Macaca fascicularis: one gene and its partner. The protein of the gene in region 2 purifies or fractionates together with the protein of the main gene of each other region. This does not show direct contact. Links are inferred from orthologs where the notes say so. Each region holds a gene or a part of one and is shown on either strand. Other genes may lie near its edges.

Region 1 (5,622 bases), on a different chromosome or scaffold from region 2:
TTTAAGTTCCTTATAGATTCAGCATATTAGACCTTTGTCAGATGCAGAGTTTGCAAATATTTTTTCCCATTCTATAGGTTGTCTGTTTACTCTGTTGCTAGTTTCTTTTGCTGTGCAGAGCCCTTTAGTTTAACCATGTCCCATTTGTCAATTTTTGCTTTTGTTACAATTGCTTTTGGGATCTTTGTCACGAAATCTTTGTCCATTCCTATGTCCAGAATGGTATTGCCTAGGTTATCTTCCAGAGTTTTTATAGTTTGGGGTTTTACGTTTAAGTCTTTAATCCATCTTGATTTTTGCACCTGGTGTAAGGAAGGGGTTCAGTTTCAATCTTCTGCATATGGCTAGGTAGTTATCCCAGTACCACTTATTGAATGGGGAGTTCTTTCCCCATTGCTTATTTTTCTCTACTTTGTCAAAGATTAGATGATTGTAGGTTTGTAGCTTTATTTCTGGGCTCTCTATTCTCTTCCATTGACCTGTGTGTCTGCTTTTGTACCAGTACCATGCAGTTTTGATTACTGTAGCCCTGTAGTATAGTTTGAAGTTGGGTAATATGATGCCTCCAGCTTTGTTCTTTTTGCTTAGGATTGCTTTGGCTTTTTGGGTGCTTTTCTGGTTCCAAATAAATTTTAAAGCATTTTTTCTTTCTGATTCTGTGAAGAATGTTATTGGTAGTTTGTTAGAAATAGCATTGAATCTATAAATTGCTTTGAGTAGTATGGCCATTCTAACAATATTGATTCTTCCTATCCATGAGCATGGAATGTTTTTCCATTTGTGTCATCTCTGATTTCTTTCAGCAGTGTTTTGTAATTTTTGTTGTAGAGATGTTTCATATCCCTAGTTAGCTGTATTCCTAGGTATTTTATTCTTTTCGTGGCAATTGTGAATGGGATTGCGTTCTTGATTTGGCTCTCAGCTTAGATGTTGTTGGTGTATAAAAATGCTACTGATTTTTGTACATTGATTTTGTCTCCTGAAAGTTAGCTGAAGTTGTTTATCAGATCTAGGAGCTTTTGGGCCAAGACCATGGGGTTTTCTAGGTATGGAATCATATCATTTGCAGACAGAGATGCTTCGACTTCCTCTCTTCCTATATGGTTGCCTTTTATTTCTTTCTCTTGCCTGATTGCTCTGGCAAGGACTTCCAGTACTATGTTGAACAGGACTGAAGTGCCTTGTTCTAGTTCTCAAGGGTAATGCTTCCAGCTTTTGCTCATTCAGTATGATGTTGGCTGTGGTTTTGTTATAGGTGGCTCTTATTATTTTGAGGTATGTTCCTTCAACGCCTGGTTTGTTGAGGGTTTTTAACATGAAGTCAAGCTGAATTTTATCAAAAGCCTTTTCTGTATCTATTGAGATGATATGTGGGTTTTGTTTTTAGTTCTGCCAAACCTTTTCTTTTAAAGCCCAACGAATAAAACCCATCACGTTTCACAAGACCACCCCAGCAAGCAGGCAGGAGAGCTAGTATTAAAAGTGAAATCTTTTGAATTTGTAGTACCTTTTCTTTTCCAAATCTAGCTGAAATTTCTCACTTGTTTTCCTTTCGATGAAGCTAACCACCGGCATTTCTCCTAAGAAATAGATATAAAAAAGTTTGATATGGTTAAAGTAGGAAGTGCTAGCTCCTAGAATATCTCTGGATATTGCTGTCCCTTGTTACAGAGCATGAGCCCTGCCCAAAGACTGGAGTGTAATGGCACAGAAATGGTCAGGAGCCCACTGAGCCAGGAGTACAGGAGGCTTGCAACAAAGTTTAGCAGGGGCCTGTTGCTATCACTGGGTGGAGGGACAGATGGGAGAACACTCACACCATGGAATCATAGGCAGCCATTAATAAAAATAAAAATAAGCCATATTGTTTGGCTTGTAGGGATTTCCTTGGGTATTGCTGAATTTACATTAGGATGTAAAGAAATGTTGGCCAGGCGTGGTGGCTCACGCCTGTAATTCCAGCACTTTGGGAGGCCGAAGTGGGTAGATCACCTGAGATCAGGAGTTCAAGACCAGCTTGGACAACATGGTGAAATCCCGTCTCTACTGAAATGCAAAATTAGCTGGGCTTGGTGACAGATGCCTGTAATCCCAGCTACTCAGGAGGCTAAGGCAGGAGAATCGCTTGAACCTGGGAGGCAGAGATTGCAGTGAGCCAAGATCCTATCACTGCATTCCAGCCTGGGTGGACAGAGCAAGGCTCTGTCTCAAAAAAAAAAAAAAAAAGAAAGAAAAAAAAAGTTAAAAAAATGTATATAACAGGACTCCAAATGTGTATGTTTGTATGTGGTCATGTAAGAAATTGCTAAATAAAATACAGGGTGCCCCAGTTAAATTTTAATTTCAGCAAAACAATCATTGCATGGAACATACTTATACTAAAAGCAATTCTTTGTTTCTCTGAAATTCAAATTTGACTGACTGTCCTGTATTTTTATTTGCCAAATCTGGCAACTCTGTTATATAAGGATGGAGAAAATTGTGAAAGGAAATATACCAAATCGTGGGAGGCCAGGAAAAAAGGCACTAGTAACACCCCCAGCAAATATGAAATCAACGCATTTTTGTAAAATTATATGCTTATGTGCATACATAGATGCATAAGGAAGTTAAAAAAAAAGGTTTTGGCCTACTAAGTCTTTTGTAAGGAGCATGCATCATATACTAAGTGAAAAAGGCAAGTGGCAGAGTAATAGGTATAGTAAGATAGTATGTGCAGAAAAAGAAACGAGTAAAACCTTGTTTAGGTTTGTATACACAAAGAGAGAGCTTTGAAAAGATGCCCATAAGACTGTCCAAATTGGTATCTCAGGGTACGGGTTGGAGAAGTAGGGTTAGCTTTGCTTTTATACTTCTTTAGATGATATTATGTTAACTAGCTCCAACAAAATCTAGTACTTTTGTATTTTGAAAAAAAAAATTTTTTTTAAGTGAGGCATTTAGTCTGGAGCTTAAGAGCATAAACTTTGGAGCTATATACATGGGGACTCAGGCTGGATCCTGCCACCCTCTAATTGTACAGCCCTTGGGGAGCTACTTTACCTTATCACTAAAATGGGGATGAAATACATGCCTATTGTTTATGATGAAGATTATAAAGAGCTCTGCATTGTAACTGGCACACCATGGTTAACAACGTCTAATGTCAATTGTTGTTATTACTAGAAAATAACCTAGGACGGGCGGGGCGCGGTGGCTCAAGCCTGTAATCCCAGCACTTTGGGAGGCCGAGACGGGCGGATCACGAGGTCAGGAGATCGAGACCATCCTGGCTAACACGGTGAAACGCCGTCTCTACTAAAAAATACAAAAAACTAGCCAGGCAAGGTGGTGGGCACCTGTAGTCCCAGCTACTTGGGAGGCTGAGGCAGGAGAATGGCGTGAACCCGGGAGGCGGAGCTTGCAGTGAGCCGAGATCACACCACTGCACTCCAGCCTGGGCGACAGAGCGAGACTCCATCTCAAAAAAAGAAAATAACCTAGGATGTAAAAATCAGGATATTCAGGGAGATGCCTACAAACCCTGATCTTCTTGAAGCAAACCTTGATCTGCTGGAGGTAAGCCACCGACTGGCTTAGGATCTTGACCAAGACATCTCATCTCTGGGCCTCACTGGCATGTCTACACCATGAGAGAGATAGACTGGGTATCCACTGCTTTATTCGTTTACTCAACCGTTTTGGGGCACTTGCTGTATGTCAATCCCTGGCCTAGAAGCTAAAGACACAGAGATGAGGGACCTGGCTCCACCTTCAAAGACCTGGCTTGAGTCAAAGGTGACTCAGTTTCTCGGAGGTGATGCAAATAAACCAGGTGGTAAGTGCTACGAGAGAGTGCATTTGGGCACCCAGAGAAGCAGGAGTCAGAGAAAAGAGCCTTTTCAGTCACAACATTTGTTGTGGCTTTCAGATGTTGGATTTTTTAGAGACACTGTGCAGATGGTGTACAGCACGGTAAGCAGAAAACAGAGGCTGAGTACCTGATGTTGATTTAGGATCGGCAGGGGAAGCAGGATGCCACACTGAGAACATCTCCTTAGAATGTCATAGGCTGTTCTATCTCCTCTAGGGGAGCTGGTCCTGGGTTTGGGCTCTGACATCAAAAGTGGATCCAAGGTTTTGTTGTTGCCTCTTGGTGCTTTCTTTGATGAACTTTCAGAATGAAGAGGAAATCTGTTTATACTAATTGTCTTCGGACGAACATCTTTCTTCATCGTGGAGGTTTGATTTTCAGCAGCTTGACTTGGAAGAGATGAAGGAAGAATTTTTGGCTTTCCAACAGGAAAGCATTTCTTAAACTCTGAGTCCGGACAACATTTACCCTGCAATTGTGAATAATATATCAAATTTTAAAACGACTTCAGCTTTAATGGTCAGAAAATACAGTAGACTAGATAACACAAAAATTCCCACTGTAAACACTGTTATATGCTGTATAAAATGTGACAGACATTCAATTTAATAGCTGGCTTTGCGGGAAAGAAAGAAAATTTTGCATTCCAGGAATGAAGGTCTGACTGGTTGCTATGGTTTGAATGTGTCTCCTCCAAAATTCAGGTGTTGCCAACGTGATGGTATTAAGAGGTGGGGCCTTTAGGGGTGATTAGATCATGAAGGCTCCTCCCTTGTTAATGGGATTAGGGTCCTTATAAATGAGGCTTCATGAAGCATTTGGCTCCAGCCTTCTACTCTTTTGCCTTCTACCATGCTAGGAGGCAGCAAGAAGGCCCTCACCAGACACCAAATGGTAGGTGCCTTGATCTTGAACTTCCCAGCCTTCAGAGCTGTTAGAAATAATTATCTGTTCTTTATTATTACCCTGTCTGTGATGTCCTGTTATAACAGCACAAATGGACTGGTTAAGCACAGGAGTTGACACTGGTTATGGGAGACGCGGGGTCAATTTTGTAACTAGGGGCTTGGATGAGAGGAAATCCCATTCACACAGGAGGGGAATTGGAAGTAAGACTCTATTGACCCTGCATAAAACTGGAAGCTTTAAAGGGTAAATTGTGGTGGGTAAGAGGAAAAGTATCACCTAATGAGAAAAGGAAGGTGGCAAGGAAGCCTTTCTTTCTTGGGCCGGTATTTGAGTGTGGAGAAGAAAACTCATGCCCCTGAAAACTCAAAATCACAGGTCCATGCCATTCCTGTGTTTGGCATTAGGATTTACTTTAGCCTCATGGTCTGGGAATCCCTGAGCAGAAGAATTAACACAAACATTGAGATGTCTGGCAGAAGCAATCACAAAATTCCTCTGGAGGGACAAGAGCCTCAAAATAGGTCATAGAGGATCCTCATAGGTAGAGTCCCGCCACATAAAAACTCACAATCCAAAATTACAAACACACAGGGAAGCAATCCACCTTGAGTAAGAATCACAGACACAAAAGTAGTAAGATTAGCCTCCAAGAAGTTCAGGTTATGCAACTATAGGATAGAGACTGTAAAATAAATTAATAAAAAATGGTTAACTCTGGGAAAAGAATAACATCTCATGAAAAACAGAATAGGCAAATTAGAAATTTTCTAATTTGTAATTAACAAATAATAACTTTATATATTCATGTGATATTTTAATATATGTATATATTGTGGGATGATTAAGTCAAGTTAATTAAC
Region 2 (6,365 bases):
CAAGTATAACAAAAAAGTTCTGGAGATGGTCGCACAACCATGTGAATACACTTATTGCCACTGAAAAATGGTTAAAATGGTAAATTTTCTTTCTTTCTTTATTTTGAGACGGAGTCTTGCTCTGTCACCCAGGCTGGAGTGCAGTGGCGCTATCTCTCTTCACTGCAAGCTCCGCCTCCCACGTTCACGCCATTTTCCTTCCTTCAGGCTCCCTAGTAGCTGGGACTACAGGCGCCTGCCACCACGCCCAGCTAATTTTCTGTATTTTTAGTAGAGACGGGGTTTCACCATGTTAGCCAGGATGGTCTCCATCTCCTGACCTCGTGATCCGCCCGCCTCGGCCTCCCAAAGTGCTGGGATTACAGGCGTGAGCCACCGTGGCCGTCCTATGTATTTTTTTTTTTTTTTTTTTTTTTTTTTTTTTGAGACGGAGTCTCGCTCTGTAGCCCAGGCTGGAGTGCAGTGGCCGGATCTCAGCTCACTGCAAGCTCCGCCTCCCGGGTTCACGCCATTCTCCGGCCTCAGCCTCCCGAGTAGCTGGGACTACAGGCGCTGCCACCTCGCCCGGCTATTTTTTGTATTTCTTAGTAGAGACGGGGTTTCACCGTGTTATCCAGGATGGTCTCGATCTCCTGACCTCGTGATCCGCCCATCTCGGCCTCCCAAAGTGCTGGGATTACAGGCTTGAGCCACCGCGCCCGGCCGTCCTATGTATTTTTATTTATTTCTTTGTTTTGAGACGGAGTCTGGCTCTGTCACCCAGGCTGGAGTGCAGTGGTGTGCTCTCGGCACTGCAGCCTCCGCCTCCCGGGTTCCAGCGATTCTCCAGCCTCAGCCTACCAAGTAGCTGGGATTACAGGTGCACACCACCACACCCGGCTAATTTTTGTATTTTTAGTAGAGACGGGTTTTCACCATATTGGCCAGGCTGGTCTCGAATTACTGACTTCTGGTGAACCACCCGCCTCGGCCTCCCAAAGTGTTAGGATTACAGGCGTGAGCCACCGCGCCCAGCCAAAACAGTAAATTTTATGTCATGTACATTTTACCACAAGAAAAAAACAGTGCTTAAAAAAAAGCAAAAACAAAAATTAGAGAAGTGCCACTAGAGTTCAGAGCATGAAGGGATTAACTTCAGCTAAGAAAATCAGAGAAGGCTTTGTGTACGAGGATGGGGGGGCAGGCACAACGAGTAGTTCTGATTTGTTAGAAGATAGGGTAGGGTGCCCAAGGGGAGAATAAACATGCAACTAAGAGTTTTAAGAAAAGTCTTTCCTCTCCTCCCTCCCAAGTTCCCTTGTTGTGAAGGGAGGATCATATCTTGCATCACTTGATTTCATTTGAAATGAAATATTCAGAATCCATCATCTCACCACATTACCCTGTAAGATCCCATTTTCCTGAAACAAAAATTCCTATGTTGATCTGACAATCCTACAACGCATTTGAAATAAATCCAGGATTTATTTCAGCATTTTATGTACACAGACTTCCTTTGTTTCCTGTCCATCTGCTTTCTTTTTCCTCTATTAATTTTCCCTTCACCTCCCAATCTTAACCCCCGCCATTCCCCCAGGGTCTCCTTTTCTTGTCATCCCCTTCATCCTTTCCTTCTTGGAAAAAGATCCGATTCTAACCTCAGTTACCTTACTAGCCGCGTGATACTGGGATAGCTATCCCCTCTGGGTCTCAGTTTCCTTTGTAAAATGGGCTTATTAAATCCCCAGAGACAGTGCTTATCTTACAGGGTTGTCAACATTACAACAAAGACCACGTTATATGCCTAACACAGTACCTGATCTATAGTAAGAACTCAACATTTTCGCCCCTTCTCCTCCTCTTTTCCGTCCTTGTGCCTTTCTTCCCCTATTCCTCAACCCCAGGGCCCAACAGGTAAAAACCGTGGGAAAAACCATCCTTGAGGCCAAAAGAAGAAACGCAGGAGCTAGGGGCGGAGAGTACGAGGTGCTCACTGCGCATGTGCGCCCGCTAGGTCAGGTTCTGGGTTCCAGCTGGGAGGGGGGGCGGGGGGGTGGGGTTAGGGGTTGCAAGGGCCTCATTTTTTCTTACTGCCCCCTTCCGGTTCGGGAAGGTGGGGGGACCTTGGCGGTGCCCGGAGCCGGCGTGGCGCTCATCGAGGGACGCCCGGCTCAAGTGGTAAGTTGGAAAATGGCGGAGGGGGGGGAAGAAGGAGGGGCTTTGCAGGGCAGGAGGCTGACCTCCCGGCCGGGGGTGGGAAGGACACAGCCGGGGCCCAGTGGCGCAGCCCGGGCCCGGAGACTGACGGACAGCGCCTGGTGTCTCTTTGAGGCCCTGACGTGGACAAACTTCGGGTTTCACGACTCCGGGTTTCTCCAGCGGATGGGCAGACCGGTGGAGGCGCGTGAGGGAGACGAAGGGACTTCCGTTTCCTTCACCTAGGCTGGGGCCAGGCCGCAGAACGGAGTTGGCATTTCCAGATTGGGGCTCGGGCCGCGCCTCCTCCGGGACCCTCCCCTTGGACCGAGCTGATCGCCGCGGGGCAGTTCGGGCCGGCTGTCCTGGCGCGGTGGGTACAGCTTGTGTAGGCTTTCGCCTCCTCCGCTTTCCCTCCTTACCCTCTTCTCCCTCCCCTCTCTTCTTTTCCCCTCCACTCCCCTCGGGCCGGCGCTGCTGGGGAGGGCGGGAAGGCCGCGCCCGCCTGGCAGAGGTGGCCTGGCCCCGGCTGCTTGCCCGGGTTCCTCGGACTGCCGACGGCAGGCGTGGGTGAGTGGGTGGGTGACTTCAGGCCCGCGGGACTGCCTTCCTAAACCCTGTGACACCTAAGGTAAATTGAGGCAAATAACTTTTTTAAAAAATATGATCAAAGGGATTTCCTCCCCTTGTGATACCTGTGGCTTGTGTGGAGCAGGGTGGAGTGTGTCTGGAGAGGGCATATGAAACAGAAAGAATAAGGGCCAAAGAGCTTCCGGAAGAGGAAATTAGCTGGTAATTCTTTCCAATCTGCTTTCCCAGTCACCTCTCCGGCATGTTCTGTAAAACAAAATGTAATTTGATTTTGTTTCATTATTTTAACTCCATAACACTTAAATTATTTTCTTTTCGGGGAGGGGAGTGTTTATTCTCAAACTAAGCAGTAGCACTCTCCACCTCCGAAAAAGGAAAAACGTCAACCCAAGCTTTGTTAAAAAAAACCCCAACCAATCAGATTTTAATAATCTACTACTTTGCTTTCAAATATAATTATGTCGCTAGTTCTGTCACAACTATACTTTGATAGTTTAATGACTCACAGAAATTTGTAAGACTGGAGGTTTCAGTAGTGTTTCTTTTCCTTTTTTTCCCCATAATATTTATTACAGTCAATGAACAGTGTTACAGACGGCCATCTTAGAATTATAACATTTTAGAGTTGGAAGGGATCTTAGTCAAACCCTGTCCTTTTACAAAACCAGAAACAACGGCTTAGGGAGATTTCATAGCTTGCTTAAGGCTATCCAACTAGTTAAATTAGAACCCATGTTATCTGGCTTCTTGCCCATCACTTTGCACAGTTGCTCCATATCGCCTCCAAGCATGAAAATTAAATGTATTCAATTCAACACACATTTCTGAAGAGTATAATACTTTGTACCAGTGACTGTGGTACCACTTTCTATGTATTTCAATGTATTTAACATGCTTATGGAGTACTTGAGCTTCCCCCCCACCCCCACATTCAAGAAGTGGCAACAGTTTAGATTTATATACACACCTTCACATGTATGTGTGTATACTTGCATTTGCCTAGATAGTTTCTTGAAGGATACACAATAAAAATGTTAACAGTAGTTACTTATGGAGAAGAGAGGTAGAAGACTTTTTACTTTGCACTTCACATGACCTAATGTACGGTTTGAATTTGTTATAAATTTGTATTGATTTCATAATTGAAAAGTTTTAAAGTTCACACCTTCCCACACAAATATATATATCAACATAGGCAAATATATACCAATGGTACATACACATATTTATGCACATATATGTATTTATACATATCAGTGGTTTGTACTGTAAAATCCAGTATGATTCAGGTCAACTCAGCTGACAAAGCAGGCCTCTATTGGATACTCATGTTTCATTTTCTTGTATTGCTCTCTCCTAATGTAAGATAGTAAAAATAATATGTTACTAGTTGTCATATATTTTTAGAAATTGTCCTAAGCTTCTTGATTATCAAATAATGTAGCAAACTTTTAACACATTTAGAATATCAGATTTGGGTACTTGCTTCAGTGGTAGCACATATACTAAAATTGGAACAATTCAAAGAAGATTAGCATGGTGTTTTTTTGTTTGTTTGTTTGTTTTTGAGACGGAGTCTTACTCTGTCATCCAGGCTGGAGTGCAGTGGCACGATCTTGGCTCACTGCAGCCTCCGCCTCCTGGGTTCAAGTGACTCTCCTGCCTCAGGCTTCCGAGCAGCTAGGACTACAGGCACGCGCCACCATGCCCGGCTAATTTTTGTATTTTTAGTAGACACGGAGTTTCTCCATGTTGGCCAGGCTGATCTCGAACTCCTGACCTCAGGCGATGCACCGGCCTCAGCCTCCCAAAGTGCTGGGATTACAGGTGTGAGCTACCTCGCCCGGCCGGTCCCTTTTTTTGTTTGTATGTGTGTTTGTGTGAGACAGAATTTCGCTTTTGTTGTCCAGGCTGGAGTACAATGGCGCCATCTCGGCTAACTGCAACCTCCACCTCCTGGGTTCAAGTGATTCTTCTGCCTCAGCCTCCCAAGTAGCTGGGATTGCAGGTGCCCACCACCACACCCGGCTGATTTGGTCCCGTTTTAAATAAGCAACAACAACAACAAAAATTTGACACCTGACGCTGTGGCTCATGCCTGTAATCCCAGCACTTTGGGAGGCCAAGGCGGGTGGATCACCTGAGGTCAGGAGTTCCAGCCTGGCCAACATGGTGAAACCCCATCTCTACTAAAAGTAAAAAACTAGCCGGGTGTGGTGGTGTGCGTCTATAGTCCCAGCTACACAGGAGGCTGAAGCAGAAGAACTGCTTGAACCCAGGAGGCAGAGGTGGCAGGGAGCCGAGATCGCACCACTGTACTCCAGCCTCAGTGACAAGAGTGCACCTTTGTCTCAAAAAAAAAAAAAAAAAAAAAAAAGAAATTGATACAATGAAAATATCTGCAGCCTGGGCAACATGGCGCAGCCCTCTCTCTAATAAAAATACAAAAATTAGCCAGGCGTGCTGGCTTGTGCCTGTAGTCCCAGCTACTTTGGGGAGTTGAAGCAGGAGGATCACCTGAGCCTTGGGAGGTGGAGGCTGCAGTGAGCCATGATTGGGCCACTGTACTCCAGCCTGGGCAACAGAGTGAGACCCTGTCTCAAACAAAACAAACAAACAAATCAGAATTGTAGACTCTTTGTAGGTAAGAATATATGTTTTTTTAAAAAGTGAAGACTAGGGCCAAGTACGGTGGCTTTCACCTGTAATCCCAGCACTTTGGGAGGCTGAGGTGGGCAGATCACCTGAGGTCAGGAGTTCAAGACCAGCCTGGCTAACATGGCGAAATCCCATCTCTACTAAAAATACAAAAATTAGCTGGGTGTGGCGGTGCACCCCTCTAGTCCCAGCTACTTGGGAGGCTGAGGCAGGAGAATCACTTGAGCCCATGAGGCAGAGGTCGCTGTGAGCTGAGAATGGAACATTGAATTCCAGCCTGGGCCGCAGAGTGAGACTCTGCCTCAAAAACAGATAAATAAAAATAACATAAAATAAAAAGTTAAGACTAAAACAGTTTGCAGTGATTAGGAGTTCAGCTGTCTAGTTTTGTTTTTGTTTTTGTTTTTGTTTTGAGATGGAGTTTCGTTCTTGTTGCCCAGGCTAGAGTGCAATGGTGTGATCTTGGCTCACCTCAACCTCTGCCTCCCGGGTTCAAGCAGTTTTCCTGCCTCAGCCTCCCAAGTAGCTGGGATTACAGGCATGCACCACCATACCCGGCTAATTTTGTATTTTTAGTAGAGACGGGGTTTCTCCATGTTGGTCAGGTTGGTCTCGAACTCCCGACCTCAGGTGAAAAAGTGCTGCGATTACATGCGTGAGTCACCGTGCTCGGCCCAGCTGTCTAGTTTTTAGAAGTAGATTAAGACTCAAAAAAATATATCGCCCATCGTAATATATCTGATTATTAGCAAAGCTTGGACTAGAGTCTAGGTTCTAGTCTAGTGGCCCTTGTACTATACCTGTAATTTTATTGCCTTCTAGTGCATTGGATGATTCCAACTAGGCTAACAAAGTGATAATATCTAAAGGTTAGCCAGGACCATTTCAATAGGTAAGAATTACTATTTTTTTCTTTGGTTTTTATTTTATTTTGTCTTCCT

The links.
Region 1: the proteins of XIAP (region 2) and XAF1 purify together in Homo sapiens (affinity purification with western blotting; 5 studies listed by BioGRID). This does not show direct contact. The link is inferred for Macaca fascicularis from reciprocal best matches to the Homo sapiens genes XIAP and XAF1.

Annotation. Positions count from the first base shown.
Region 1 is NC_088390.1:6,804,131-6,809,752, reverse strand, and holds part of XAF1 (XIAP-associated factor 1), read right to left. Parts: intron 4,323-5,622; coding exon 3,981-4,322; intron 1,581-3,980; coding exon 1,524-1,580; 3' UTR 1-1,523. UniProt on the Homo sapiens protein: Seems to function as a negative regulator of members of the IAP (inhibitor of apoptosis protein) family. Inhibits anti-caspase activity of BIRC4. Induces cleavage and inactivation of BIRC4 independent of caspase activation.
Region 2 is NC_088395.1:130,086,901-130,093,265, forward strand, and holds the start of XIAP (E3 ubiquitin-protein ligase XIAP), read left to right. Parts: upstream 1-2,086; 5' UTR 2,087-2,157; exon of another isoform or gene 2,158-2,421; 5' UTR 2,422-2,548; exon of another isoform or gene 2,549-2,806; intron 2,807-6,246; 5' UTR 6,247-6,316; intron 6,317-6,365.